Saccharomyces cerevisiae S288C: one gene and its partners. Changing the gene in region 4 together with the main gene of any one other region gives a genetic interaction. Each region holds a gene or a part of one and is shown on either strand. Other genes may lie near its edges.

What was found.
Region 1: mutations in BRE5 (region 4) and RPA34 together harm fitness more than expected from each alone (negative genetic interaction), as found in Saccharomyces cerevisiae (5 studies listed by BioGRID).
Region 2: mutations in BRE5 (region 4) and SOH1 together harm fitness more than expected from each alone (negative genetic interaction), as found in Saccharomyces cerevisiae (5 studies listed by BioGRID).
Region 3: mutations in BRE5 (region 4) and FKS1 together harm fitness more than expected from each alone (negative genetic interaction), as found in Saccharomyces cerevisiae (5 studies listed by BioGRID, with this or other methods).

What each region holds. Positions count from the first base shown.
Region 1 is NC_001142.9:136,673-143,695, forward strand, and holds RPA34 (DNA-directed RNA polymerase I subunit RPA34), read left to right. Parts: upstream 1-3,764; coding exon 3,765-4,466; downstream 4,467-7,023. Other genes in the region: SNA3 (Sna3p), read right to left, coding at 1-101; SCF ubiquitin ligase complex subunit DAS1, read left to right, coding at 707-2,698; SMT1 (Smt1p), read right to left, coding at 4,747-5,895; IDS2 (Ids2p), read left to right, coding at 6,620-7,023. UniProt on the Saccharomyces cerevisiae protein: DNA-dependent RNA polymerases catalyze the transcription of DNA into RNA using the four ribonucleoside triphosphates as substrates. Component of RNA polymerase I (Pol I) which synthesizes ribosomal RNA precursors.
Region 2 is NC_001139.9:267,815-274,102, reverse strand, and holds SOH1 (mediator complex subunit SOH1), read left to right. Parts: upstream 1-3,327; coding exon 3,328-3,711; downstream 3,712-6,288. Other genes in the region: methylenetetrahydrofolate reductase (NAD(P)H) MET13, read right to left, coding at 1-1,583; SCS3 (Scs3p), read right to left, coding at 1,964-3,106; U2-type spliceosomal complex subunit CWC23, read left to right, coding at 3,959-4,810; mitochondrial 37S ribosomal protein mS29 RSM23, read left to right, coding at 5,028-6,288. UniProt on the Saccharomyces cerevisiae protein: Component of the Mediator complex, a coactivator involved in the regulated transcription of nearly all RNA polymerase II-dependent genes.
Region 3 is NC_001144.5:807,063-818,562, forward strand, and holds FKS1 (1,3-beta-D-glucan synthase), read left to right. Parts: upstream 1-2,934; coding exon 2,935-8,565; downstream 8,566-11,500. Other genes in the region: SPO77 (Spo77p), read left to right, coding at 323-1,756; YLR342W-A (uncharacterized protein), read left to right, coding at 8,748-8,921; GAS2 (1,3-beta-glucanosyltransferase), read left to right, coding at 9,032-10,699. UniProt on the Saccharomyces cerevisiae protein: Alternate catalytic subunit of the 1,3-beta-glucan synthase (GS) complex. Synthesizes 1,3-beta-glucan, a major structural component of the yeast cell wall. Involved in cell wall synthesis, maintenance and remodeling.
Region 4 is NC_001146.8:715,006-722,669, reverse strand, and holds BRE5 (Bre5p), read left to right. Parts: upstream 1-4,342; coding exon 4,343-5,890; downstream 5,891-7,664. Other genes in the region: putative GTPase NOG2, read left to right, coding at 1-367, 900-1,550; CCR4-NOT core DEDD family RNase subunit POP2, read left to right, coding at 2,023-3,324; LYS9 (saccharopine dehydrogenase (NADP+, L-glutamate-forming)), read left to right, coding at 7,282-7,664. UniProt on the Saccharomyces cerevisiae protein: Has a role in de-ubiquitination. In conjunction with UBP3, cleaves ubiquitin, leading to the subsequent mono-ubiquitination of sec23.

The DNA of each region.
Region 1 (7,023 bases), on a different chromosome or scaffold from region 4:
ACTGGGGGAATGAAAACCGCCAAAACCATTAACAACAAGTCGTCCTTGTTGATGGAATAGCTCATTCGATGGTCATGGTCATTAATATGGTCTCTGTCCATTTCTAAATTATATTTGGTTGTTTGCTTTCTGCTGGGTTTTTATTTTTTAACCTAGCCCCTTTCCTGCAGCTGGCTCATTCGTGCTGTACTCTCTTTCCTTTATATACTAGTGAGACCTTTTCCCCCGTTCCCAAAAAGAAAAAAAAAAAAAAAAAAAGAAAACGAGCCTTCATCACGTGCATTAAAGAAATAGTAATCCCAACGCACTCATCCGCTATATACATAGCGAAAAACTATATGCCCACTTCACAAATACGAGTTTGCATGTATAATATATAAGATTTATAAATGTTGTAGGGTGAATGTAAACGTTCAGTAATATACCGGTATATCTATCAAGATACGATCAATGCAACGCTTTACTGCACTGCACTACACCCCTTTTCCTCTACTTGTTTTTCTTAGTTCCTATTTCCCTCTCAAAATGCACCTGTTCACCAGAGTATTCTTTCTCATTGCAAGTATTACCCTACTTTATCGTCCCACACAAAGAGGAATATATATAGATTATAAGCGAATTGTAGATTTCGATGGAGATCTGATTTCCGTGCAAAATATCCAGGACGTCTATACACAGTGTTTACAACTCAGCTTATATTCATATCATGCCATTTCAAGATTATTTTCAGAAGAAAAAAGCAGCGTTCATTAACAGAAACAATAAAAGTAACGCAGATGCTTCAGCGCTACGAGATATTAACGATATTAACATAAATTTCGCCGCCAAGAGCAAAAACTACGTGTTCCCGCTAACAAAGCTCCCCGATGAGCTCATGCAAGAAGTATTCTCTCATTTGCCGCAACCAGACCGCTTGCAGCTTTGCCTTGTGAACAAAAGGTTGAATAAGATCGCTACCAAACTGCTTTATAGAAGAATATATTTGAACGACTCAAATGTAGTGAAGAGTGACTTCATGCATCTCGCAATTAATTGGACCCTACTGAACTTGCCGTCTTCGTTGAAAGAAGAGGAGTCCCGCGATATCGCCAACTGCAAATTGAAAAAACTTATAGAAACACTGCAAAATAATATTCACATTACTGAAGTCATCCAGTGGATAAGGATCAACTGGGATTTGGACTCTACCTTGCAAAGGTCCATTCTCAGCATCCTTTGCAATCAGGGCAAGTCCTTGCAAAGACTAGAAAACGTCACTGACCCGGCTTGTAACGATATCATCTCCAATGGTCACTTTTCCAGGAGCAACGTCTCAAGTTTCGACATGGCTCCTCCAAATTCATTGCCTGAGATGGTTGTTCCCGAAAATTACATTCCGAATCTCACCAAATATCTTTCACAGCGTATCTCTTCTCGGCTTTCTCATATGACTTTATTCATCGACCCTTTAAAACTGTTCAATTATCTTTACCCTTTAGATATCAAGTTACAAATCATCGATTTAAAATTGCATTGGAGGAGGGAGTTTTACAATAATGATTATTTTGTTAAAAAGATACGACCCGGCAATCCTCTGACTAAACTATCGGAGGTTTTTGACAAGAGGACATTGAAAATTCTTACCATCATTTCTTGGAATGACACTTTGTTAAAACGCGAGACAGAAATGCTGAAAGATTTTAAAGAATTTGAGAACCTGGAAGATTTGTCTTTGATTTCTATTAAGCAGGATGTTCATATCCTCGTAGATCTTTTTAGTTCGTTAACCAATTTGAAAAGACTAAAAATGGATTTCTTAGAGGAGTATGTACCTGAACCCACAAATCCTCACATATTTCTCTCCATTCTTTTAGCTTGCTCCAAATTGCAATTCATAGATCTGAGATACGACGGTCTTATCCCACAAATCATCAATATTCAAGAAAATAAGTTCCAACTAAATCAGCAATGCAACTGCACAAACTGTCAAATAGTATTCAGTGACATTCTGAAGGGCAAAATATTCATGTTCCCTGAAGACTACTATATTCACGATCTTCAAGACATTGCTGCAAAGGATATTTTTAAAATGATGAAATACCTATCTTTGTTACCATACTCTAAAGCTTGTGATGCTTATCCGAGCGTTAGAACACAACCAATGAATTTGACTAATTTTGTGACCAAGATGAACCGCAACCTTTTGGAATATAGAAATTCTAAATCCCAGTTGGTGCCCAAAATCGTTAATAACCCACATCAACACTCCACCGTGACTTCCACATCAACCGCTCATATGAGCGAGCCCGAAATGATAATAATCGATGACGATGATGATGATGATGAAATTAATGCGGCCATTCCTCCAAGTAGTGATGACACAGCAGCTACAATTTCCACTGACCTGGAACTTCCTCATGAATCATTGACCAAAAGAGATATTATTATGTGTTATCACGCTCTTATCCATCACTTCAAGTCGATTTACGTTACTTTTTTGAAAAGTTTTCCTCATTTGAGATTCTTGATGTTGAATGACATTCCCACAATAGTTATGGAGGAGAATAATGAACGTATTTTTGAACCCGTCTTTTATCATTATGATTATAAGAGTAATCTGTATGGATGGTCAAAGGAATCGAACAAGAATCTGGAGAACGACAGCAACAACAACAATAATAATTCTGATACCATTGCAAGAATAGCCACTGTTATGTAATCAACTCCCCTTCAAATATATATATTTAATAATATATATTCAACGCATTTTTTAAGCTAGCAGGATTCAGATTACTGGTCTACTTCATATTAAGGAAATACAAGATCCATTCGGATGCTAGAAAAAAATCAACCAACTATTCCAATGTTGGTAAGCTGGTTTGATAAAGTAAACACAAGATACTACAGTATACGATCACTCAGACATCCTAGGAAGGTCTCTAAAGAAGAGCGGTCACCGAGAGTACTAACGATGGGTTCGTAAGCGTACTCCTACCGTGGAAACTGCGAATGTTAAGGAACCAGTCTTTCATCACCGTGATCATAAATTATATATATTATCTGTCTCCTCAAATTACCCACATTTGATAATCTCATGAGAAAAAATAAAGGCTCAGATCTGCATGTGTTGTATAACACTGGCAAGAAAAGTTCCCGTTTGCAAACACAAATGATTAAAAAAAAATGTCACAGAAGCAACATCTTTTCAAAATCATTCGCATTAAGAGAACGAGATAAAATCCCTTGTCGTCATGGTCGAATCGGACGAGGAAAGAAGAGACACCATTATCATCAGGGCCAATCAATTCTTCTTTTCTGTTTAAAAAAGTGTCATGAAATTTCTCTTGAGATTATTCAAACTTGAATGTATCAAATGGGAAGGAGTGCAATGCTGAAGTCGAAAGAGGAGGATTACTCTCATTCTTACTACATTACAGTCACTGCTGTTTGTTCTTATGTAGGGGAATTCTTATTAACCGAATGTCGAGATTATTATAACCTTACAGAAGGTTGTCCAGTATTTATACATTTTGTTTCTGCCCATAAAGCTCTAGAAAATGAAAAAAAATTTTCTTTTCAGCCTGAGAAAGTTTTTTCTTAGGGCAGCGTGTGGTTATTGGGTGTTGCGAAACTTTTTTTCTCAAACATGAAATTAAAGAAATGAAAAATTTTATCGATGAGCATTGAATAGCTCAAGTTATAGGGTATTCGGTATCATATAGGTCTGTGATCGAGTGAGCAGTGAGCAGCTAGGATTCAATAAACGGGATTAACAAAAAATTGATATGTCCAAGCTTTCGAAAGATTACGTATCAGATTCAGACTCTGATGATGAAGTGATATCAAACGAGTTCAGCATACCAGATGGTTTCAAGAAATGTAAACATTTAAAGAATTTCCCTCTCAACGGTGATAACAAAAAAAAAGCGAAACAGCAACAGGTTTGGCTGATCAAATTCCCATCAAATGTGGACATCTCCAAGTTAAAATCTCTGCCTGTAGATTTTGAATCCTCTACAACCATGACAATTGATAAACACGATTATAAAATCATGGACGATACAGATATTGAGTCCTCGTTAACACAGGATAACCTCAGTAATATGACTTTATTGGTTCCTTCGGAAAGTAAGGAAAGTCTTAAAATTGCTAGCACTGCCAAGGATAATGCACCATTACAGTTTGACAAGGTATTTTCTGTCAGCGAAACCGCTAAAATCCCAGCTATTGATTACAGTAAGGTAAGAGTTCCACGTAAAGATGTTCCAAAAGTAGAAGGCTTGAAGTTGGAGCATTTTGCTACTGGTTATGATGCCGAAGATTTCCATGTGGCTGAGGAAGTTAAAGAAAATAAGAAAGAACCAAAGAAGCGTTCACATCACGACGATGAAGAGGAGTCTAGTGAAAAGAAGAAAAAGAAGAAGGAGAAGAGGGAGAAGAGGGAGAAGAAGGATAAAAAGGATAAGAAAAAGAAACATAGAGATTGAATGCGTATGTGCGTATAACTGTGTGTAACATAAGATAAAAATGTGCATTTGTGTGTGTGTCAGTGATTTTTTTTCGCATTTACATATATAAAAAGGCATTTCTGCTGGTGGAAACTGATGAATGTTTTGTGTGGGCAATATTACTATTTAGTTTTGCATACTTAAATTTGTGTATACGATTAGAAATTTCAATATTTCGGGTGTAACACAAACGATTATTTTTTTCTTGATTTAGAGTCGCCATATGAATATTATTAACCTGCTTTTTCTGTGTTCTCTCTTATATGAGGTTCAATGGTAAGTGTGTTTTTAACTCGTGTTCTTCTTCATTAATCATCTTTAATACACTTCCAAGGTTGACCTGTAAATCTTCAAAGATTAGTTTATCCTGGCACGTCCGATGGATACTCCGTATAGAAATATCTAAGGATCTAATAAATTTGTATTGGTCCATTATTGGTGTGGACGGTTTCTTCGGTGACTCCAGCATTATTTTGCTTTGTATACTCAATTTTACGATATCAATTAACCATTTTTTGACCAATTTTGGTTCCTCTTCAACGCATTTCGAAATAGCCCTTAAAATACGAACAAGCAGGATTTGATTTTGGGTGAAAGAGAAACCATCATCTTTATTGTGGTTCAGGACCGTTAAATCAGGCAATATATGTGACTTTTCATACAAAGATTGATAAATTAAAATCAAATCGTTATTCCTCCAATTTGCGCCTAAAAGCTTAATGTAATGAATTATATTTTGACGAATATTATCTTCAGATACGTTAGAAGTTAGACATCTCCACAAAAGACGTCGCAGAGGAAACGGTAGATCACTGTAATCGGACAACCAACGAGGCTCGTAGTCTTTTCTTATTTGCACATCGTGCGTTCTATAATACAACAGGATGGATATCACTACTCTTTGGTATTCGTCAAACAAGGCTCTGTGCTCCCATACTTTATCGAATTTGTTGAACTTTTTTGAGAGCAAAATTTCTGTTATTTGACGCACATTAGTTAACTTGCCCACATACTGCAAAAGCAGCAGCCTATCATATAGATCCTCGGACGATGAACCTTGTAGTTCCTTCGAAGAAGAACTTTTGTTATCCGTTGCCTGGGTAACTATTGAGTTCAAATGTGAGAAAAGCACATCGTAATGAACAGCTACTTTTTGTTTCTTGGACTCTACTTCCGGTAGATTTGAATTCAGTATTCTCAGGATGTTCTCTATATGGTGATTTTGAAGATTATTTTCTTTAGTGCGTGAACGATTCAATAAGGAACCTTGTTCATTAACTTCAGAAGATTCAAACAAAGGCCCCAACAACTTCACTGGACCTTTGGTCAAGTATTTTAGAGTTGATTTCAGCTCATCATCTTTCGACTTCAATAGTCGGGTTGCTAACTGAGAAAAAGTCCTCCTCATAATCAATGATTCCTGTAGATAAAATTGACAAAAGGCAGCGCACGCACTATTTCCCTTTAGCCAGCACAATTACTTATGCGTGTTGTTGTTTAGGGTTCGTAAATCTATATTGAAACGCAATTTATATTCTACTGTTTTCTTTTCGCACAAACAGAAAACCGCTGTCACATTATTGTATGACTGTTGATATCGGACCATCATTTTCGACACTTTCATTGAGGGGAAAAATGTTGGTGTCATTACGCTCTCTACTCATGTCTTTATGTAAGTATACGTTTACAAGATTATTTATATGCTATGACACTACGGGTTCTCAACTTGCAGCAAAACAAGAAGCAGTTAGCGGCACATTTCGGTGCAAAAACTTATCAGCAGTTTTTGCTGCCTCTCTTTCACTAATCTAACTTACTATGTACGGCCGATAGCAGTATATTGTGCTTTTTACTGTCTTTTATTACTTTTGCTGTTGCTCTTGCTCTTGACTGTTCCCATCTTTGCTTCGGAAATTTCCCCATGCGCTGCAGGACAGAAACACAAGCATGATTGAAGCAATCGAATTGTGCAGTCGAGTTCAAAATTGGCAGAGAAGAAAAGAGGTGGAAATTGCAACACGAATCACCGCTTTACCACGCAAAGATATCTGGATTCTTGATATCAATCTTTTTCAAATATATTTTATTTATTTATCAAAAGGGCAAGAAAGAAAAAACGATTGATAATAAAAATGGATAATCAGCAGGAAAGTATATCTGAAGATATCACCGGTGATCTGGCCGCTGCTGTGAGAAAGTCATGGTCCGAGTCACAAGATAATCCATTACTGTTAAATTTTAATAATTCTCCCATAGGTACTCCCACTGATAGGTACTCCCCTGAACCAGCAACGATGATGGAAGGAAATGCAATGAATCTTTCATCACTTGCGAGAGGGTCGACACAGCAGCAGCAAAGGCTTTATGGATCTTCTCAAACACGCGAAAAATCTGATCAACAGCAGCAGGATTATCAGCTGTTCAAACATCATTATTCTTTGGGACAGGAGACGAGAGAGTCTGTTTCAGATATCCTTAACGATTTGACTCTAGGATCTCCGGAACCAAGCGAAAGGGCATCACCAATAAGGCAACC
Region 2 (6,288 bases), on a different chromosome or scaffold from region 4:
ATTTCTCTGCCGGGGAAAATACCCCAAGTCACAGCGTTGGACTTGGAGTTGTCTGGATGATTACTTAGCAGGTCACCTTGAGAGTCGATGGCGAAGTAGGTCAAGAACTCATTGTTTTTCAAGGTGTCAATCAACTTGGGCAACTTAGTCTTGGGCAACATAAATTCCAAATATTGCTTCTGGTAAACGTAACCATCCTTGGGTCCCCAACCATGAATTTTGTCATTGGACCTAATGCCGTTGACTTGAGGTTGAGAGTTTATAGTGATGATAGAATGCTGGTTCAGCTCAATCAAGTGTGCTTTGATTGGATTTATTTCATCATTGATGGGGATATCACTCCAAGGTAAACACTTCAAGTTTCCATTCAAGTAGTTGATGACCAAGAAGGCGACGTCGTTGATGGAAGTAGGGGTGGACCATAATTCGAGACATTTGTTCGCTGATTGCCTGATCAAGTCTGAACCACACAGATCCAAGTCACCGAACGCAGGAGAAGACGAATCACCGAATCTACCGTTGGGGAATTCGTCCACGGCCCATTGAGAGGTTCTTGCGACATAGGAGTAAGGTCTTCTCTTCCAGAAGATAGGTCTGACTTCCTCGTTTTTACGCTTTGGATTCAAAGATTTTCTCCATGGCAACACGGCCAATGGATGTGCATTGAACTCTGATTCCGTAGGTAGAATGTTCAATCTTTCCAGAATCATGAGAGGCGCTTTTTCCAAGTTCATGGTGTAGATGTGCAAGTGAGAAACGTAACCACTGTCGAGCAATTTTTGACACATTTCCACGATCAAGTTAGTTCCGATATCACGGACCAACTCGTCATCGTCCTTGATAGGATCCAATCGGGACGAGAAATGTTGAGGGATGGAGATTTGGCCCCATTGGGCCCTTCTCAAGAAGGCCGCGTAGGTAGTGATCGGCATGATCCCGGGAATAATGGGCACGTCCATGCCCGCAGCTCTAACTTGGGAACACCAGTTGATGAAATTATCAACATCGTAAAACATCTGAGTGATGATGAAGTCGCCGCCGGCGTCGATCTTCTGCTTCAAATACTCGAGATCAAGCTTCACGTCTTTGTTAGGCAACTCCGGATGGCACTCCGGGTAGCCGGCAACGCCGATAGCGAAATGGTCACCGTACTTGGACTTGATATACTTAATCAAGTCCTTGGCATACTGGAAGCCACCTTCAACGGGAGTCCAGTTTTCTGCGTCCCTAGGAGGATCTCCTCTCAGCGCTAGGATGTTCTGGCAACCGGAGTGATAAGCGTTTTCTAAAGCGTCGTCAATCATCGAAATGGGCATATTGGTGCAGGTAAGGTGCATGCACGTTTCCAAACCAAGCACAGACTGCGCTGTCGCAACCAAGTCCGTGGACAGATGTGACAACCGTCCACCGCCTGCATTCCAGGTGATGTCAATAAATTGGGGCAAAGAAGCCTCGTACATCCGGTCCATCCGGTCATACAGGTTCTGTACACCTTGTGTAGTCTTCGGGACGAAGTACTCGAATGAGTAAGTGGGCTTGCCAGAGGTCTGTCTATGTTGCTCTAATTTTTCTGTGATCTTCATATTGCGATGTGGTTGTAGTAGTAACTGTGGTGGTTCTGTTTGCTGATAACTTTAGTTTAGGGAGACTATTTCAATCAAGGGGAGCAAGGCAAACTACACGAAACACAAGCTGTGGCATTAGCTTTTCCACGAGCGAAATATCACCTTTTTTTTTCTACTTTTCGTATATATGATATATATACGTATATATATATATACATACAAACATATATATATATATATATATATCAAATTTTGGAAAAATTTGAGTCAAAGTTGCATATGCAATATTCACAGTCTATAATCCGAGGGATAGAATGACTAAACGACGGCCCGCTACCGGGAGAAAAGTCGCTGTTATTTTTTCAGTCGCTCGTGGTCTATCGCCAACTTTTCCTGAGTCATACTGGACGTAGCGCGGCTGCGTCGCGAGCGTAGACAAGGCCTGTCACTATGTACGCAGCTAGCAATCCAGACATGTGCTCACGTACGGTGTGGAAACGGGACGCCACCGCAGTCAACAGCAGCTGCCATAACCACGTGACCAATAGCGTCAGCAGTATGATTACTGGGTGGTCGCATGCTATGCATCGCGTCAAACGGAGCAGGGCGGCCGCGCACGTGACAGGCGGCTCGACTATCGCACGCCACAAACGGGCGCCACAGGTCATTGAGCCGCCGCCACACCGCCGCCACGTCCATAGCGGTCCAGTGTCGAAAAGGCGGGTCACCAATCGTACAAGCTGCCATTTCTGCGCGTACAAGTGAGCCAGTGCACGACGCCCAAACACACGTAGCTCACCTAGAAGAAACATGCACATCAAGGTGGCCAAGAACACGTGCCCGGATGGATCGTGTCCTCCAGCCCAATGGCCTCCAAAACGTCTGCACTGTGCCGAGGTGGTTAACGGACCTTGCCACCTGTGCATCTGGTCATGAATAAAAGTATTGATGGCAGCGGCAGCGCTGGCCGTTACGTTTTTTGGGGTTTTCGGTTGCGTCGCCTGCAGGGCGCCCTGGATCGACCCTATGGAGCGGTCCCAGAGTTGTTGCTGACGGTGTTCTTGGTGGTGTCCGTGCAAAGTGAGGACATTGTGAATGAGCGCCAACGCGCGATTAGTCCGGGTGACAGAACCCTGGAAGTCTTCGTTCACGTGACCTGCATCATCGAAGACGTCATAGTGACAATGGCCACCCGTATATACGAATACCAAGTCCATGATGGGGCCTACGCCAAACCATATACCTTGCGTGAATACGTACCACCACACTGTCAGTATGGCATACCTTTTGAATGACTGGACAATGTGTCTTCGGTCTCTGCCGGTTGCCCCCGGCACCGCACGGTAGCGTATAATACACCACCATCCGACCAAGGAAGTCCAAAACCACCCTTTCTTTACCAACATAGCATTTACCAGACCATCCTTATTCAGGGTTGCTTGCAGCGCCGCACCGTAGCCATACGCGTTCATGAGATATCCTACCAGTACCGTCAACGGGCACACCAGTAGGTGTATAGCATTAAACCATTTGCTAGACATTGTTGTAATATGCCGTGCTTTATAGCTGGTTTCAGTGGAGTTTTAGGCGTTTCCCCTTTGGCTTTTTTCGAACAGTTCGTTTTGTATTTTATTTCACGGTTTTCCCGCTAACGTGTTCTTAAAGGATGAAAAAGAAAAAGAAATGCAGGAAAAATGAGGCAAAGTAAGCCAAAACTTATAGCACTCATAAGACGGCAAAGTTCCCCCAAGCTCCACCCAGGATGTCAAGCACTAATGGAAACGCACCAGCGACACCTTCCTCGGATCAAAATCCTCTCCCCACGAGGTTCGAAGTGGAGCTCGAATTTATCCAGTCACTGGCAAACATCCAATACGTAACGTACTTACTCACTCAACAGCAGATCTGGAAGTCTCCTAACTTCAAAAACTACTTGAAATACCTGGAGTACTGGTGCAACCCCCCTTATTCGCAATGCATTGTGTATCCAAACTGTCTCTTCATTTTAAAGCTGTTGAACGGGTTCATGGAGTCGGCGATCGTTAATGAAGATGGCCTGCTGGAAGGGCTAGACGAGCTGCCCAAGATCATTCAATTACAAGGCCCGCAATGGATGAATGAAATGGTAGAAAGATGGGCCAACTGAACACACCTAATTATAACTACATTCGCACGCATTCATATATCTATTTTATACACTCATGAATATATATACACACACACACATATATATATCACATATATACATATATATATGTATATATATATGCAAGCCGCATTACTTTGTATTTTCTTTCCTTTGTTTTCCTTGCATATTATCTCGCAAGACATTAGAAGATGAAAGCAAAATCAAAAAGCAAGTCCATCGCCGTACTACAAGCCTCGCCACGACTATGCCAGGACACGAATTGGAAGACGTAATAAATCAACGTTTGAACCTATATGATGTATTAGAATTACCGACCCCCCTGGACGTCCATACCATCTACGATGATTTGCCCCAAATTAAACGCAAATACAGGACCCTTGCCCTGAAGTATCATCCTGACAAACACCCGGACAATCCATCAATTATACACAAATTCCACTTATTATCGACCGCAACTAATATCCTCACCAATGCAGACGTGAGACCCCATTACGACCGCTGGTTAATTGAGTTCCTACGGAAAACAAACGACATTGAAAGAAATAAACTTATACAAAAGCTGGAAGAATCTGAATCGAGTACGATACCCACCACCACACCACATCCTGATTTATTGCAAATCCAACGCCACGGCGAGCTACTCAGGAAACTAAAACATTTCAACTTGCCCTATGGTGACTGGAAACATCTCAACACACAAGACCAAGAAAATGCTTCGCAACATCCGTATTACGATTGCTCTACTTTGAGAATTGTCCTTGACAACTTCCTGCAATCAAATAATAAATCAAACTGCTTATCTCATTTGCGCAATCAAGTATTCATCACGCTAAGTGCTAATGAAATCTACGACATCTACTTCTCTGAAAGAAACAACTACTCGAAGGATGATTCAATCATCATATATACTGTATTCGATACTCCCATCACAGCGCAGCACGTATTCCGAAACTGGTCAAGTGGGAACCTCATACCCACGGTCAAGGATATTTCGCCCTTGATCCCGCTACATTACTACTCTGATTTTAATTTGGAGACGGAACTGAATGACGATATTGCAAGACTGGTCTCTAATGAACCTATCCTACTCGACTAGCTTGCACATATGTATGCCTGTTTTTCTTTATCCTATGGAACACTATATTTTCCGGGGCTTTCTTACAAAACGGAAGAAAAAGAAAAGGAAACTCAGCAAGTACTATGTACAAGAATATATATATATGTATATTGTATATATACATCAACTTCTATACTTCGAGGGAAAACATTAACAAGAGAACAAGTACAAGCCACGTGGTATACGTATCAGAATAATGCTACGTATGTCAACTTCAAGATTCATTGGGCAAAGGCTGTTCACTACGGCACGATCTCTCCAGGCTGCTAAACCGGCACCAAAAGGTAAAACTCAAGGATTTTCCAAAAAATCATCTTCAGTCTCATCTTACTCATCTGCAAAGAGAGTTACTCCTGGTTCATTGTATAAAAACTGGACAAACACCACGCACACCGCTCAATTACAACAGACCGCCGTTCCTTTGGCATTACCTATCTTCAACTTTGATGATATTTCCAAGACTTTGAATAAAGTAGTATCATATTCCAACAAACAGTACAAATCCCTTCACCATTTGGGTTCCTTCAAGAAGTCGCAGTTCAATGAACTTTTTCAAAAACCGGTTTGTCTAGTTCGTGAAGATGCAACGAATAGCTTTTTGAAGAAACTAGTATCTCATCCTGTTAAAAAATTTATAATCACTGGAGAGCCAGGGGTCGGGAAAACTGTACTACTCTCTCAAGCGCATGCATATGCAGTTGATTCCAAGCAAATCATTATTAACATATCATATCCTGAATTATTCCTGAACGGTAGGAATGACTTTTCTTATGATGATGATTTAAAGCTTTTCATCCAACCGATGTATTTGAAAAAGCTTATAAGGAAAATATTGAAGGCAAATGACCCTGCATTGTTAAAATCTATTGAGCTATCCAAAGACTACAAGTTCTCGAATGCAAACCCAAAGAATGCCTCTGTAAAACCATTTGTCACATTAAACAAAACGAAAAATACAGTTTTAGATTTGTTATCCGTAATGACCCACCCGCATAATCGTGGAAAACTAATGAAAGCCATTATTGATGAGTTATCTGTCCAATCCAAGGTGCCAATCATGTTTACAGTGGATAATTTTTCAAAAGTGTTAACTACTGCATATTCTGCGTACAGAAATACAGAGAATAAACAAATATATTCCCTGGATTTACAAATGGGTAAATTGATGATGGACATTATTTCAGGAGAGACGAAATTTGCTAATGGTGAGAGTTCTACTATATTAGCTATATCCGGCGTTGACAGGACAAACAAAACTTTACCCGTGGCATTGGGCAAGATCCCAGTAGACCCCTATGTTACTAGATATCACTATGAACCGAAGTTCGTAGAATTGCTCCAAAAAGGTAATGTCACCGAATTCGAGGTTCCTAAACTGAACAAACAGGAAGTTAACGAACTAATCGATTACTACAAACAATCAAATGTTTTATTAGACAAGGATATCACAGGAAAAA
Region 3 (11,500 bases), on a different chromosome or scaffold from region 4:
CAAAGTTCATGATTTGATGAGAGAAAGTAGCTATACTATCTTCCCAATTTACGCTTGTCTCTGAACAAAGGTTTTTATCCTTTATATGCTTATTGAAATACTGAGAATACCAAAAGTTGTCTTTTTCTCTACTATCGCTTGATTCTTTCAAGACGTCGGATATAAGAAATGTCACAAAATCAAAAATAGCTGCGAGGAAATAATGAAGAAAAGTAAAAGACGAAACTACTGCTTCGATGAGAGGTGAGCAGAAGCTCCCATAAAAAAAAAAACCTATCTTGCAGTATTTCTATGTTCCTTAAGAGATCAATAGAAGTAGAATATGTTTCGAAGGGGAGATAATTCAAATTTTAACGTACAAAATAGCTTCTTTCTTCCTTTGGAATACGAATATACCGTAAAAGATAATGTACCTTCAAAAAAAAAGAGTAGTATAGGTTTTTTTCCATTAGATGATTCTTTATTCACATCAAAAAACAATTCAGGGCACCATAAAAGCGAACAGCTCCATCGCGGTAATGCAGAAACTATCAGAAGCCAGTTTGGAACTGACGCAGTTCCGATAAGGATCGATGAGAAAGAAGGAAAGTGGGATAGAATTCAAGATGATAATTCTTCTAATTTAAACTACCAAATTAACAACAGTAATGACCCAGCTTCGAGTGGTAAATATACCCAGAGTATTGACTGTAACCATATAGCGGAGTCAAAATTTTCAAAAAAAAATGGAAACATTGATAGTCTTCGTTCAAACTCAGCAACTTTTATGCTAAATACTGCAGATGAAGACGTGATAGAATTTAGTTTTGACGATAATGTCCCTTATGCTGAGTTATTATCTGGTGCCACCCTTGAAAAATGTTCGTTGACTCTAAATGAAATAAACAAAAAACTATTCAATACGCTCTATGACTTTCGAGTAAGCAAAGATAATCCCGAAGAAAATTTGGTAGAACTAATACTTCCGAACTGCGTGGTGTTATTAAACTTTTTTGAAGACATTGAACTCTTGGCCGACTCTTCTGATGAGGCTTTCGAAAAATCTACTTTCATTAACACAATTGAGTTCATTGTGCACGATATTTGGGTCGAAACGTTGATAAAGAACATAAACTTATTACAAATGTTTGATGCAGATTTGAAATGCTACAATGACAAGTACATAATTTGCAAGCTAAAGGGTCAGTATCCCTCCACAAATATAGTGGACATAATGTGCCGTTTGAAGCATTTTTCCAATTCTATTTTGGAAACTTTCAAATTCGGAATCGAGCTAAAAGAACAAGATCAATGCCACAATAGAAACACTATTATCAACTACGTTCTTTTCAGTAGAGTATTTTCAACGATTGTTTTAGAGATTCAAAAATGCTTTATCTTGATCGTTAAGTTCATGTATTCTGTCAATTTTTTAGAAAAATTTTCCGATGAAGTATTTTTGTCATTTATTGAAATTCTCATAAAAATTGTCTTTGAGCACCAGATTCCGCAGTTATTTTTGGGAATTGATGAAATTATTCAACTCTGGTTAAAGAACAATGAAGGAAAACGGCAACAACTCTTGAGCGCTTGGTGCAACGGAACTGTTCAAGATATGAAGCAAAGCCAACAAAGAGAGTCCTCAAACGCAGAATCTGAATCAATCACTTCAAGTACAGAAGAGGACGAAGAAGGCCTCCAATTCAATAAATGGGATGTGATTGAACCATTTATTGATAATATCAAGGCTTTGAATCAATCAAAATCCCATATGTGACGCAGCGATAAAACCGCGGCATGCAAACATCTACACAATTAGCAAGGGCAATCCATATTTTGTCTTTTCGCGCCCTGGAAAGGCCTAAGTAATGTCGTAAACGCATTCTATCTGTACTTCAACTCTCCTCTGTGCATTGGTTTGTGCAAATCACATTTTACGATACTGCCAGATTTATGCAAAAAGAGAAAACCAAGGGACCAGAACAAAGCAAAATTACGATAAACTTCGAATTCCTTCGTGCTTGACTAAGACAAAGGGATGGACGTAGCGATTTTTAGCGGGCCAAGAACTGGTTCCGAAAAAGCACAGGTACACCGAACCCTCAGCTAAGGAGGGACAGCACCGATGCGGAAGGACAAACTTTCTTTTTGCCTATCACAGTATCTTATCGAGCTAACTATTTTCGACACACATGAAAAAGCAGAAATATTAACGAAAAAGAAAAGAAAGACCATGTCATGTACGGGCAATCAGAATCTGTAACAAGCGCCATTTTTTTTTCTGTATCGGGCCCTCCTTACTGCTCTCCTTCCGTGTAACGCGTTATGAAACTCTAATCCTACTATCGGCGACTCTCTCGAAATTTTTCTTAACGCGTCCTTGTACTGCGTCTAACGCTTTTGCCACTTGGATTTCTATTATAGGAAATAGTCTCACTTACTGGGCGACGAATTTTCGCGTTTTGATGAAGCACAGGAAGAATTTCTTTTTTTTTTGGCTTCTTCTGGTTCCGTTTTTTACGCGCACAAATCTAAAAAAAGAAATAATTATAACCTAGTCTCGAAAATTTTCATCGATCCATTCGTTCCTTTTTTTCGATTTTTTCAGATCAAAATTCTTGTTTCTTTCTTTGTCTTAGTTTATATTAAAAGATATTTTGATTTTACTCCTGAACTATTTATTCTTTCTAAGAAGGCCAGAACACTACAGCTGTTTTAACCGACTACGAAGTTCTCCATTCTCGAACACTAGCCTTCATTTACCAAACAGGAACTAGCGTATATCATTAGTCCTTATTCGAAAAGAGATTGGTAGATATTTATTGTAGTTTGTGAGAAGGAGAAAATACTGTCATTGGACTGATAGTTAGAGGACATTAACCTCTCTTACGTTCGCTCAAAAAAATTAAAATAAGCAAGTAGCTGAAATCAAGTCTTTCATACAACGGTCAGACCATGAACACTGATCAACAACCTTATCAGGGCCAAACGGACTATACCCAGGGACCAGGTAACGGGCAAAGTCAGGAACAAGACTATGACCAATATGGCCAGCCTTTGTATCCTTCACAAGCTGATGGTTACTACGATCCAAATGTCGCTGCTGGTACTGAAGCTGATATGTATGGTCAACAACCACCAAACGAGTCTTACGACCAAGACTACACAAACGGTGAATACTATGGTCAACCGCCAAATATGGCTGCTCAAGACGGTGAAAACTTCTCGGATTTTAGCAGTTACGGCCCTCCTGGAACACCTGGATATGATAGCTATGGTGGTCAGTATACCGCTTCTCAAATGAGTTATGGAGAACCAAATTCGTCGGGTACCTCGACTCCAATTTACGGTAATTATGACCCAAATGCTATCGCTATGGCTTTGCCAAATGAACCTTATCCCGCTTGGACTGCTGACTCTCAATCTCCCGTTTCGATCGAGCAAATCGAAGATATCTTTATTGATTTGACCAACAGACTCGGGTTCCAAAGAGACTCCATGAGAAATATGTTTGATCATTTTATGGTTCTCTTGGACTCTAGGTCCTCGAGAATGTCTCCTGATCAAGCTTTACTATCTTTACATGCCGACTACATTGGTGGCGATACTGCTAACTATAAAAAATGGTATTTTGCTGCTCAGTTAGATATGGATGATGAAATTGGTTTTAGAAATATGAGTCTTGGAAAACTCTCAAGGAAGGCAAGAAAAGCTAAGAAGAAAAACAAGAAAGCAATGGAAGAGGCCAATCCCGAAGACACTGAAGAAACTTTAAACAAAATTGAAGGCGACAACTCCCTAGAGGCTGCTGATTTTAGATGGAAGGCCAAGATGAACCAGTTGTCTCCCCTGGAAAGAGTTCGTCATATCGCCTTATATCTGTTATGTTGGGGTGAAGCTAATCAAGTCAGATTCACTGCTGAATGTTTATGTTTTATCTACAAGTGTGCTCTTGACTACTTGGATTCCCCTCTTTGCCAACAACGCCAAGAACCTATGCCAGAAGGTGATTTCTTGAATAGAGTCATTACGCCAATTTATCATTTCATCAGAAATCAAGTTTATGAAATTGTTGATGGTCGTTTTGTCAAGCGTGAAAGAGATCATAACAAAATTGTCGGTTATGATGATTTAAACCAATTGTTCTGGTATCCAGAAGGTATTGCAAAGATTGTTCTTGAAGATGGAACAAAATTGATAGAACTCCCATTGGAAGAACGTTATTTAAGATTAGGCGATGTCGTCTGGGATGATGTATTCTTCAAAACATATAAAGAGACCCGTACTTGGTTACATTTGGTCACCAACTTCAACCGTATTTGGGTTATGCATATCTCCATTTTTTGGATGTACTTTGCATATAATTCACCAACATTTTACACTCATAACTATCAACAATTGGTCGACAACCAACCTTTGGCTGCTTACAAGTGGGCATCTTGCGCATTAGGTGGTACTGTCGCAAGTTTGATTCAAATTGTCGCTACTTTGTGTGAATGGTCATTCGTTCCAAGAAAATGGGCTGGTGCTCAACATCTATCTCGTAGATTCTGGTTTTTATGCATCATCTTTGGTATTAATTTGGGTCCTATTATTTTTGTTTTTGCTTACGACAAAGATACAGTCTACTCCACTGCTGCACACGTTGTTGCTGCTGTTATGTTCTTTGTTGCGGTTGCTACCATCATATTCTTCTCCATTATGCCATTGGGGGGGTTGTTTACGTCATATATGAAAAAATCTACAAGGCGTTATGTTGCATCTCAAACATTCACTGCTGCATTTGCCCCTCTACATGGGTTAGATAGATGGATGTCCTATTTAGTTTGGGTTACTGTTTTTGCTGCCAAATATTCAGAATCGTACTACTTTTTAGTTTTATCTTTGAGAGATCCAATTAGAATTTTGTCCACCACTGCAATGAGGTGTACAGGTGAATACTGGTGGGGTGCGGTACTTTGTAAAGTGCAACCCAAGATTGTCTTAGGTTTGGTTATCGCTACCGACTTCATTCTTTTCTTCTTGGATACCTACTTATGGTACATTATTGTGAATACCATTTTCTCTGTTGGGAAATCTTTCTATTTAGGTATTTCTATCTTAACACCATGGAGAAATATCTTCACAAGATTGCCAAAAAGAATATACTCCAAGATTTTGGCTACTACTGATATGGAAATTAAATACAAACCAAAGGTTTTGATTTCTCAAGTATGGAATGCCATCATTATTTCAATGTACAGAGAACATCTCTTAGCCATCGACCATGTACAAAAATTACTATATCATCAAGTTCCATCTGAAATCGAAGGTAAAAGAACTTTGAGAGCTCCTACCTTCTTTGTTTCTCAAGATGACAATAATTTTGAGACTGAATTTTTCCCTAGGGATTCAGAGGCTGAGCGTCGTATTTCTTTCTTTGCTCAATCTTTGTCTACTCCAATTCCCGAACCACTTCCAGTTGATAACATGCCAACGTTCACAGTATTGACTCCTCACTACGCGGAAAGAATTCTGCTGTCATTAAGAGAAATTATTCGTGAAGATGACCAATTTTCTAGAGTTACTCTTTTAGAATATCTAAAACAATTACATCCCGTTGAATGGGAATGTTTTGTTAAGGATACTAAGATTTTGGCTGAAGAAACCGCTGCCTATGAAGGAAATGAAAATGAAGCTGAAAAGGAAGATGCTTTGAAATCTCAAATCGATGATTTGCCATTTTATTGTATTGGTTTTAAATCTGCTGCTCCAGAATATACACTTCGTACGAGAATTTGGGCTTCTTTGAGGTCGCAGACTCTATATCGTACCATTTCAGGGTTCATGAATTATTCAAGAGCTATCAAATTACTGTATCGTGTGGAAAATCCTGAAATTGTTCAAATGTTTGGTGGTAATGCTGAAGGCTTAGAAAGAGAGCTAGAAAAGATGGCAAGAAGAAAGTTTAAATTTTTGGTCTCTATGCAGAGATTGGCTAAATTCAAACCACATGAACTGGAAAATGCTGAGTTTTTGTTGAGAGCTTACCCAGACTTACAAATTGCCTACTTGGATGAAGAGCCACCTTTGACTGAAGGTGAGGAGCCAAGAATCTATTCCGCTTTGATTGATGGACATTGTGAAATTCTAGATAATGGTCGTAGACGTCCCAAGTTTAGAGTTCAATTATCTGGTAACCCAATTCTTGGTGACGGTAAATCTGATAACCAAAACCATGCTTTGATTTTTTACAGAGGTGAATACATTCAATTAATTGATGCCAACCAAGATAACTACTTGGAAGAATGTCTGAAGATTAGATCTGTATTGGCTGAATTTGAGGAATTGAACGTTGAACAAGTTAATCCATATGCTCCCGGTTTAAGGTATGAGGAGCAAACAACTAATCATCCTGTTGCTATTGTTGGTGCCAGAGAATACATTTTCTCTGAAAACTCTGGTGTGCTGGGTGATGTGGCCGCTGGTAAAGAACAAACTTTTGGTACATTATTTGCGCGTACTTTATCTCAAATTGGTGGTAAATTGCATTATGGTCATCCGGATTTCATTAATGCTACGTTTATGACCACTAGAGGTGGTGTTTCCAAAGCACAAAAGGGTTTGCATTTAAACGAAGATATTTATGCTGGTATGAATGCTATGCTTCGTGGTGGTCGTATCAAGCATTGTGAGTATTATCAATGTGGTAAAGGTAGAGATTTGGGTTTCGGTACAATTCTAAATTTCACTACTAAGATTGGTGCTGGTATGGGTGAACAAATGTTATCTCGTGAATATTATTATCTGGGTACCCAATTACCAGTGGACCGTTTCCTAACATTCTATTATGCCCATCCTGGTTTCCATTTGAACAACTTGTTCATTCAATTATCTTTGCAAATGTTTATGTTGACTTTGGTGAATTTATCTTCCTTGGCCCATGAATCTATTATGTGTATTTACGATAGGAACAAACCAAAAACAGATGTTTTGGTTCCAATTGGGTGTTACAACTTCCAACCTGCGGTTGATTGGGTGAGACGTTATACATTGTCTATTTTCATTGTTTTCTGGATTGCCTTCGTTCCTATTGTTGTTCAAGAACTAATTGAACGTGGTCTATGGAAAGCCACCCAAAGATTTTTCTGCCACCTATTATCATTATCCCCTATGTTCGAAGTGTTTGCGGGCCAAATCTACTCTTCTGCGTTATTAAGTGATTTAGCAATTGGTGGTGCTCGTTATATATCCACCGGTCGTGGTTTTGCAACTTCTCGTATACCATTTTCAATTTTGTATTCAAGATTTGCAGGATCTGCTATCTACATGGGTGCAAGATCAATGTTAATGTTGCTGTTCGGTACTGTCGCACATTGGCAAGCTCCACTACTGTGGTTTTGGGCCTCTCTATCTTCATTAATTTTTGCGCCTTTCGTTTTCAATCCACATCAGTTTGCTTGGGAAGATTTCTTTTTGGATTACAGGGATTATATCAGATGGTTATCAAGAGGTAATAATCAATATCATAGAAACTCGTGGATTGGTTACGTGAGGATGTCTAGGGCACGTATTACTGGGTTTAAACGTAAACTGGTTGGCGATGAATCTGAGAAAGCTGCTGGTGACGCAAGCAGGGCTCATAGAACCAATTTGATCATGGCTGAAATCATACCCTGTGCAATTTATGCAGCTGGTTGTTTTATTGCCTTCACGTTTATTAATGCTCAAACCGGTGTCAAGACTACTGATGATGATAGGGTGAATTCTGTTTTACGTATCATCATTTGTACCTTGGCGCCAATCGCCGTTAACCTCGGTGTTCTATTCTTCTGTATGGGTATGTCATGCTGCTCTGGTCCCTTATTTGGTATGTGTTGTAAGAAGACAGGTTCTGTAATGGCTGGAATTGCCCACGGTGTTGCTGTTATTGTCCACATTGCCTTTTTCATTGTCATGTGGGTTTTGGAGAGCTTCAACTTTGTTAGAATGTTAATCGGAGTCGTTACTTGTATCCAATGTCAAAGACTCATTTTTCATTGCATGACAGCGTTAATGTTGACTCGTGAATTTAAAAACGATCATGCCAATACAGCCTTCTGGACTGGTAAGTGGTATGGTAAAGGTATGGGTTACATGGCTTGGACCCAGCCAAGTAGAGAATTAACCGCCAAGGTAATTGAGCTTTCAGAATTTGCAGCTGATTTTGTTCTAGGTCATGTGATTTTAATCTGTCAACTGCCACTCATTATAATCCCAAAAATAGATAAATTCCACTCGATTATGCTATTCTGGCTAAAGCCCTCTCGTCAAATTCGTCCCCCAATTTACTCTCTGAAGCAAACTCGTTTGCGTAAGCGTATGGTCAAGAAGTACTGCTCTTTGTACTTTTTAGTATTGGCTATTTTTGCAGGATGCATTATTGGTCCTGCTGTAGCCTCTGCTAAGATCCACAAACACATTGGAGATTCATTGGATGGCGTTGTTCACAATCTATTCCAACCAATAAATACAACCAATAATGACACTGGTTCCCAAATGTCAACTTATCAAAGTCACTACTATACTCATACGCCATCATTAAAGACCTGGTCAACTATAAAATAATACAATCAATACTTGCTTGAACGCTTGATTTTACTGATATTCTATCCAAAAGCAAGTAGACCAGAAACTCTCAAGATGTTGCAAATACCGTTCGATGTTTTTGGTTTAGATTGTTTTAATGTTGATGCTTTTTTACTTATTTTTGGAAGCGTCTTTTTAATTTAGTTTTATATTATAGGTATATGAATGTGTTTATGCCAATAAGGGTTTTTTTGTACAGTTATGTGATTATAAACAGTCTTTTGTCTAGTTTTTTTCACCAGTATCGGCCTCTATTTATAAAAAACGGAGCAGCTTTCGGTGTCAGTAATTCTGAAAAAATTTGTGTCACTCTGATTGTAAATGAATTAATTTAGCTAGATAGTTGCGAGCCCCAACGAGAAGATTGTCAGACAAAGACAACATTCAACAACCTACATCCGTTACTATTCGTTAACTCGAGGTACTTGAAACTTTTCAGTTAAGTATGAACAAGAAACAAAATTTTTACGCAGCCATTATTGTGGCTATTTTTCTTTGTTTGCAATTGTCTCATGGCTCTTCAGGTGTCAGCTTTGAAAAAACCCCTGCTATTAAAATTGTAGGAAACAAATTCTTTGACTCTGAGAGTGGGGAACAGTTCTTCATCAAGGGCATTGCTTACCAATTGCAGAGAAGTGAAGAGGAGCTTAGCAATGCAAATGGGGCTTTTGAGACAAGTTATATTGATGCCTTAGCGGACCCAAAAATATGCTTAAGAGATATTCCATTTTTGAAAATGCTAGGAGTGAACACACTGCGTGTTTATGCAATAGATCCGACAAAATCACATGATATATGTATGGAAGCTCTATCTGCCGAAGGAATGTACGTCCTATTAGATCTTTCAGAGCCTGATATTTCAATAAATAGAGAAAATCCATCTTGGGATGTACATATTTTTGAAAGGTACAAATCTGTAATTGATGCAATGTCATCCTTTCCAAATTTGTTGGGGTATTTTGCAGGGAATGAAGTGACAAATGACCATACAAATACCTTTGCATCACCCTTCGTGAAGGCCGCAATCCGAGATGCCAAGGAGTATATTTCGCATTCTAATCATAGAAAAATCCCTGTCGGCTATTCAACTAATGACGATGCTATGACAAGAGACAATTTAGCAAGGTACTTCGTTTGCGGAGACGTTAAAGCTGATTTCTATGGGATAAATATGTACGAATGGTGTGGGTATTCCACGTATGGTACTAGTGGATATAGGGAAAGAACGAAAGAATTTGAAGGTTATCCAATTCCCGTGTTTTTTTCGGAATTCGGCTGCAATCTTGTAAGACCAAGGCCATTCACTGAAGTTAGTGCCCTTTATGGCAATAAAATGTCCTCTGTTTGGTCTGGTGGCCTTGCATACATGTATTTTGAAGAAGAAAATGAATACGGAGTTGTTAAGATAAATGATAATGATGGAGTGGATATTCTTCCTGATTTCAAGAATTTGAAGAAAGAATTTGCAAAGGCAGATCCTAAAGGCATTACAGAGGAAGAATACTTAACGGCAAAAGAACCAACTGAAGTAGAAAGTGTTGAATGTCCACATATTGCTGTCGGAGTTTGGGAGGCAAACGAAAAACTACCTGAAACACCTGATAGAAGCAAGTGCGCCTGTTTGGATGAGATTTTGCCCTGTGAAATAGTCCCTTTTGGTGCTGAATCTGGAAAATATGAAGAATATTTTAGTTATTTGTGCTCTAAGGTTGACTGTTCCGATATTCTTGCAAATGGCAAAACCGGTGAGTACGGTGAATTCTCAGATTGTTCTGTCGAACAAAAACTTTCCCTTCAGCTGAGTAAATTGTATTGCAAAATCGGCGCAAATGATCGCCATTGTCCTCTAAATGATAAGAACGTTTACTTCAACTTAGAAAGCCTGCAGCCCCTTACAAGCGAGTCGATCTGTAAGAATGTTTTTGATTCTATAAGGAACATCACATACAATCATGGCGATTATTCAAAATCAAATCCATCGCGTAGCAAGGAAAGTTTGAACGTAAAGTACCCATCGAGTGAAGAGAGAGAAAATGACGGCACCATCGCATTTAAAACTTCAGGGTTTGTTATACTTCTAATTTCTATGATAGCTGCTGGAATTCTTCTATAAAAAATTCATTTAATATTCAATGAAGTTATAAATTGATAGTTTAAATAAAGTCAGTCTTTTTCCTCATGTTTAGAATTGTATTAATGTACGCCGTTTACGTTGGAGTGTAAATGTGTCTATTCCAGAACGAAATCTAAATGAGCAGTACAGGCAGTTCAGATGGTACTGAAGCGGTACTAAAGATGCATGAATTGAACAGATGTGGTAGTTATGTATATGAGGAATATGAGTTGTCACATTAAAAATATAATAGCTATGATCCCATTATTATATTCGTGACAGTTCGTAACGTTTTAATTGGCTTATGTTTTTGAGAAATGGGTGAATTTTAAGATAATTGTTGGGATTCCATTATTGATAAAGGCTATAATATTAGGTATACAGAATATACTGGAAGTTCTCCTCGAGGATATAGGAATCCTCAAAATGGAATCTATATTTCTATTTACTAATATCACGATTATTCTTCATTCCGTTTTATATGTTTCATTATCCTATTACATTATCAATCCTTGCATTTCAGCTTCCTCTAACTTCGATGACAGCTTCTCATAACTCATGTCATCATCTAACACCGTATATGATAATATATTGATAGCATAACCATTAGTTGATAGGTGATGGTGGAATTTTATTTCAACAGTTTTATACCTCTCTTATATAAGCACAGGAAGGTCCATATCCACATTTAAACTTGATTAATACTTTTTTTTATACCTTTAACTATCATCATCAATAATTTCTTTTCTGAAAGTACGACATCAAAGTCGCCGAGTTTTGTCTTCGGAATAAATACTAGGT
Region 4 (7,664 bases):
GAGACCACGTCTTGCTGCATCCAATCTAGAGGACTTGGTCAAGGCTACAAATGAAGACATTACCAAGTATGAGGAAAAGCAAGTCTTAGATGCCACATTAGGACTAATGGGGAACCAGGAAGACAAAGAAAATGGGTGGACCTCCGCAGCAAAAGAAGCTATTTTCAGTAAGGGTCAATCCAAACGTATTTGGAACGAATTATATAAAGTCATCGATTCGTCTGACGTGGTAATACATGTTCTAGATGCAAGGGATCCATTGGGTACCCGTTGTAAGTCCGTGGAAGAGTATATGAAGAAGGAAACACCACACAAGCATTTAATTTATGTTCTTAATAAGTGTGATTTGGTACCTACCTGGGTTGCAGTATGTTAACTTTTTTTTTTTTTTTTTTGATTCTTTCCAACCAAGAGGATAGCACGAGAGATTTTTTTTTTCGATAGAGTATGATTTTTATTACCAAACCTTTTTGTCAGGGTGCTTCTCTATCCGTTTTAGGATAAACTTATCTACAGAAGTGTCTGTTACTGTTTTGGAAGAGTAATACTGTTCGCTTATCCATATTTCCCCGTTCTGGGGAAGCCTCATGGGTAAATTAGAAGGACAACCTTTGTTTTAAAGGTATACCTTCGCTTTTTAGAACAGCGAGGATCTTATGAGTTGAGCTTTTGTTATTTGAGACTTTATCTCGGGCTCCATACAATATGTTCGTAGTAAAGATCCTCACAATTTTCTACTTTTTTTTTTTTTTTAGTTTAATCCACTCTTCGAAACAATCAATCTCGGCTATAACAATGATTATTACATTCTCTTGGGGCAAAAGATTACCTATTATGAAACAAAATGTATTTTTTACTAACAGAAGGTTTTTTTTTTTCAATTCTAACTTTACAAGTAGGCAGCTTGGGTCAAACATTTGTCAAAGGAACGTCCAACTTTGGCGTTTCACGCATCTATTACCAACTCTTTCGGTAAAGGTTCGTTAATTCAGTTGCTACGTCAGTTCTCACAGTTGCATACTGATAGAAAGCAAATATCTGTAGGGTTTATCGGCTATCCAAACACTGGTAAATCGTCCATCATTAACACATTGAGAAAGAAAAAGGTGTGTCAAGTTGCACCAATCCCTGGTGAAACTAAGGTCTGGCAATATATTACTCTTATGAAAAGAATTTTTTTGATTGATTGTCCAGGTATTGTGCCGCCTTCTAGTAAAGACTCCGAAGAAGACATTTTATTCAGAGGTGTTGTCAGAGTCGAACACGTCACACACCCAGAACAATATATTCCAGGTGTTTTAAAACGTTGTCAGGTAAAGCACTTGGAAAGAACTTACGAGATCTCAGGATGGAAGGATGCCACGGAGTTTATTGAAATTCTGGCAAGGAAACAAGGTAGATTACTGAAGGGTGGTGAGCCTGATGAGTCTGGTGTTTCTAAGCAAATATTGAATGATTTTAATAGAGGTAAAATCCCTTGGTTCGTCCTTCCACCTGAAAAGGAAGGGGAAGAAAAACCAAAGAAGAAAGAAGTTGAGAAGACGGCATAGAGGTAAAAACGGACAACCGGTGTATAATATTAATTTAAGATTACAAGTGATTTTTTTTTTCTTTTTTTTTGTTATTTTTTTTTTTGTTCTTATTATATGGCAGCAAACATTCTTGGGGAAACAACATAGATGGGTAATTATTTAGTTTATAAAGTATAATATTCCAATAGAAAACTTAAGTTCGGTAATGATATAGCCCTCTCTATAGTATAAGGTAAATCTCATTATACCAGTCATTCCAAACGGAATTCGGTCCTTACCCGCTGCTCGCTCTTTTTTCATCATTATGATATTTTCTTTATTGAGTCTTTTCAATTATAGTAGTAGAATGATAACTGACAAGAAAGATCAGTTTGAAGTTTATTAGCGTGTCTCGTTATCAGGGCTTCCTTGTTTTTCATACTGGAAATACTTCGAACGATTAGAAACAGGCAACTCAATTTTATACATTTATAAAGGGTCAAAAAGGATTATGCAATCTATGAATGTACAACCGAGGGTATTAGCTGTAGGAGGTGAGCAGTTTTTCTCTCAGAGGCAGGCTTCTGAACAACACCAGCAGCAAAACATGGGACCTCAGGTGTATTCGCCAAAGGTTAATAGAGCAAGAATGTTTCCTCAAGGGATGCCTGTAAATACAATTAATGGCTCTGTTAATCAGGAGATGAACAATGCCTATCTTTTGAAGCAGAAGAACGAGCCACTGTTAACTCAGCAACAACAGCAACAGCAACAACAACAGCAGCCATTTAATATAGGAACGCCTGTTTCGGTGGCTAGTTTGCCGCCCGGACTGAACGTTCTGCAGCAACAACAACAGCAGCAACAACAACAGCAGCAACAGCAGCAGGGAGTGGGACTCAATCGTCCCTTGGCTTCCCAGCTACCCAAGCATTTAACCAACCAAAGTATGCCACCGATCTTTTTACCACCCCCAAATTATCTTTTCGTTCGCGATGTCTGGAAGTCCAACCTTTACAGTGAATTCGCCGTTATAAGACAACTGGTCTCGCAGTATAATCATGTGTCAATCAGTACTGAGTTTGTGGGGACTTTGGCTAGGCCGATCGGCACTTTCAGGTCGAAGGTCGATTACCACTATCAGACAATGAGGGCCAACGTAGACTTCTTAAACCCAATACAACTTGGTCTTTCCTTGAGTGACGCCAACGGCAATAAGCCTGACAACGGTCCCTCAACGTGGCAGTTCAATTTTGAATTTGACCCAAAGAAGGAAATCATGTCCACAGAATCGTTAGAATTACTCAGAAAATCAGGTATCAACTTCGAAAAACACGAAAATTTAGGCATCGATGTATTTGAATTTTCGCAGCTTCTAATGGACTCTGGTTTAATGATGGATGATTCTGTTACTTGGATCACATACCATGCGGCATATGATCTAGGTTTCCTGATCAACATTCTAATGAATGACTCCATGCCCAACAACAAGGAGGATTTCGAGTGGTGGGTCCATCAATACATGCCCAATTTCTACGACTTAAACCTGGTGTATAAAATAATCCAGGAGTTCAAGAACCCTCAATTGCAACAATCTTCACAACAGCAACAGCAGCAGCAATATTCACTAACCACACTTGCCGATGAGTTAGGGCTACCAAGATTCTCTATATTTACTACTACAGGCGGCCAGAGTCTATTGATGCTTCTATCCTTCTGCCAATTGAGCAAGCTGTCTATGCATAAGTTCCCAAACGGTACGGATTTCGCCAAGTACCAAGGTGTCATATACGGTATTGATGGGGACCAATGATCATTTATGTACTATATGTATACACAATTTTAAAAAAAAAAGTTTAAAAGCAACATCAGCTTATGATTGGACATGTAGTAATACAGATTGGTTCTTCGATGCAATAAGCACTCTTCCACAGGAGATTGATGCGTTATTCCCGTATAGTTATCGGTCACGTGCGCTGTAGTTTGTTTAACCATTTATTTTTTCTTGGAAATTTTTTCGTCCAAAGCAGCGAAAAACATCAGGTGGCGATTAATGAAAGAATGACATATTGCAAGCAGCATAACCGTCCATTCCAGGGATAAGAGGAAGTACAAGCTTCTTTATTAATAGTTCTAGAGTGACTACATTATTTCAGATTAGGCAATATTACCTTTTCGTACCGTTTTTTTTTCCTGTCCACTGTTACTATTGTTACGGTTAAAAGTTCTATCGCAACCGGCGGACGTTAAACTAAGTCATTTGTTTTTTATCCCATTACTGTTTCAAAAAAGAGCAATTCATACCTAATTTGTACAAAACGAAGACTGTACAAGTGGTAGTACTTGACATAGGATATTTTGCTTGAGTATTAGAAGAATACGAAAAACTTCTTCAGTTTTCTAGTTACCGTTAGTACCAAAACTATTCTAGAGGAAGAATAAACAGTAAGATATTGCTTTAATTTATTTATATCACCTACCACAAGCTTTCGTTTTTTTACTCTGTTTAATTCTTCAAGTTGTGTTTTTTCCCTACATTTTAATTCATTTTTGCCCATTTAATTACATTTTTTTTTTTGTTTTATTATTTTCGTTCAAACCTCATTTTCTTTCAAATATTCAATTAGTCAATCATTTTACAGAGAATCTGTTGAAAACTTATTTTACTGATACATCTTTATTTTTCGTTGATTTTTAAAGAGAAAAAGATCACGAAGAATACTACAAAACCATCGCATTTTTTTTTTCAAGTGTGTTATAGTTTTATTACCTTGTCACTAATAGTTGCATTTGAAGTCATACCCTCGAATAGAAGTATCAAATAAAAGAAAATGGGTGTTACCGTTCAAGACATATGTTTTGCCTTTTTGCAAAACTACTACGAAAGAATGAGGACCGACCCTTCCAAATTGGCATATTTTTATGCAAGTACAGCCGAGTTGACGCATACTAATTATCAGTCCAAGTCAACAAACGAAAAAGATGACGTTCTTCCAACGGTGAAAGTTACTGGACGTGAAAACATTAATAAGTTTTTTTCTAGAAATGATGCCAAAGTTAGGAGCTTGAAACTAAAATTAGATACTATAGATTTCCAGTACACTGGGCACTTGCACAAAAGCATTCTGATCATGGCCACGGGTGAAATGTTTTGGACAGGAACTCCGGTCTATAAGTTTTGTCAAACATTTATCCTGCTACCATCCAGCAATGGGTCTACGTTTGACATTACCAATGATATAATCAGATTTATTTCCAATTCATTCAAGCCTTATGTCTTAACAGATGCTTCTTTGTCACAATCTAACGAGGAGAACTCTGTCAGTGCAGTTGAAGAAGATAAAATAAGGCATGAGTCCGGAGTTGAAAAAGAAAAAGAAAAAGAAAAATCACCAGAAATATCGAAACCAAAGGCCAAAAAGGAAACGGTCAAAGACACAACTGCGCCAACTGAATCGTCAACTCAGGAAAAACCAATTGTCGATCATAGTCAACCTCGGGCTATACCCGTCACTAAAGAGTCCAAGATTCACACCGAAACGGTACCATCTAGTACTAAGGGCAACCACAAACAAGATGAGGTCTCTACAGAAGAGTTAGGAAACGTTACTAAACTAAATGAAAAATCTCACAAAGCCGAAAAGAAAGCTGCACCAATCAAGACAAAGGAAGGCTCTGTTGAGGCCATAAATGCTGTTAATAACTCTTCTTTGCCCAACGGTAAAGAAGTTAGTGATGAAAAACCGGTACCTGGGGGCGTAAAGGAAGCTGAAACTGAAATTAAACCAATAGAGCCACAGGTTTCCGACGCCAAAGAATCCGGCAATAACGCTTCAACACCTTCATCTTCTCCAGAGCCCGTTGCGAATCCACCAAAGATGACATGGGCCTCAAAGTTGATGAATGAAAACTCCGACAGAATTAGCAAAAATAATACCACGGTTGAATACATCAGACCTGAAACACTACCCAAGAAACCGACTGAAAGAAAATTTGAAATGGGGAATCGGAGGGACAACGCTAGTGCTAACAGCAAAAATAAGAAAAAACCAGTATTCAGCACCGTTAACAAGGACGGCTTTTATCCAATCTACATTAGAGGTACAAATGGCTTAAGAGAAGAAAAATTGAGAAGTGCCTTAGAAAAAGAATTCGGTAAAGTTATGAGGATAACAGCTGCAGACAATTTTGCCGTCGTCGACTTTGAAACTCAAAAGAGCCAAATCGATGCTTTAGAGAAGAAGAAAAAGTCAATTGATGGTATTGAAGTATGCTTAGAAAGAAAAACAGTAAAGAAGCCCACGAGCAATAATCCTCCTGGCATATTTACTAATGGAACACGTTCTCATAGAAAGCAACCCCTAAAAAGAAAGGACTAGTCAACCACAAGCCTTTTAAAAAGAAAAATTGAAAAAATAATAAAAAAATTTGAAAAAGAAAAAAAAAAATCATAAAACCAATCTTAAGAAAAACCAAAAAAAAACCGCTAATTAAAATCTAAAAAATTGAAACAAGAAACTGTATGATTAGTAACTAATATACTGGCGCGGAAGGGAATGAATGCCATTTAAATGAGATGATTATGAAAATATAGCGTAGAGTAGATGCGCGAAACCGAGGCAGAAAAGAAAAAGAGACAAGTTAAAAATTGAATATAATGATATATGGGCACTTTCTTCTGTGCTAGGAAACGGAGGTAGAAGGGGATAGCAAGCTTGAGCAGTAATTAAAAAAAAAAAAAAGCATATTGATAGATAGCTCATTTGTAGTTAACTGACGACATTTATGTACATAATTAAAATAGAAGAAAATTTTCAAAAAAAATTCTCCTGGCGATTGTTAGGGACAAGAAAACAAGCCATGTTGTAACCAATAAATGTTACACGCCTTCAAAATAAAAAAAAGATGGACAAAAGAGATAAATCTTTTGCTTTTTCTTACTCTGTGTTGTTGTCAACAAAGACAACAAACGTGTGAATAATCTACGGGATTCGTTTACCATAGGCTACCTAGAAATGGCATAGTCATGGAGATAAAGTCCCATGATATTGTAAACTAAATTGAAAGTAAAATCAAGGAAAAAACAAGTGAGATTGCAATAAGCAATCAAGAGAGAAAAGTTTTTTGACTGATTTTCGACTTGCTTTTATACCGATTTTGAAAAGTCGCGGGGAAAAGCTGGCAATTATTTTTCATTTTTTTTCATTAGGGCTAGAAGTTGCTAAGAGCAAACAAACTGTTACTTGAAAGGTTTTCCCACGTTGGTAGCTACATATGCAAGAGTCTTATGTATCGTATCTAAGTGCCACGTAGGGGATTCCCATCATTTGATGATTTCCAAATATAATACCTGTAGAGAGCGGTGGAGCAAAAGTCAAATTTTAATCGCAACTGCAGACAAGTCAAGCTGAGGAAATTGTGGATGATCTCTTGTTTCTTTTGATATTCACCACAACAGAAGTGAAGAGTGTGATTGCGGTTACTACTGACCACGAAGCAATGCGTTTAGTAGTGAAAAGAATTACTCATACTCTGGAATCGAAATTCCGTTGGAAAAATTCGCTTTGTAGTGAAAAATAAAGATGTCAATAAAGGGTATTGAGAATTTCCAATGGAATTATCAGCAATAGATGATAGAAAGTAGCACAGAATTTGGCTTAATGGTATATAAACCGTAGGGTCCTGGTAAAATTACATGGGAAGGATCCTTAGGCAGTAGGGAAAACTTATCAGGACAATTGAGTTATATTAACGTATTATATATTTTAATATGGGAAAGAACGTTTTGTTGCTAGGATCTGGTTTTGTTGCACAACCTGTTATCGACACATTGGCTGCTAATGATGACATCAATGTCACTGTCGCATGTAGAACATTAGCCAATGCGCAAGCATTGGCCAAGCCCTCTGGATCCAAGGCTATTTCATTGGATGTTACCGATGACAGTGCCTTAGACAAAGTTCTGGCTGATAACGATGTTGTCATCTCTTTGATTCCATACACCTTCCATCCAAATGTGGTAAAGAGCGCCATCAGAACAAAGACCGATGTCGTCACTTCCTCTTACATCTCACCTGCCTTAAGAGAATTGGAACCAGAAATCGTAAAGGCAGGTATTACAGTTATGAACGAAATTGGGTTGGATCCAGGTAT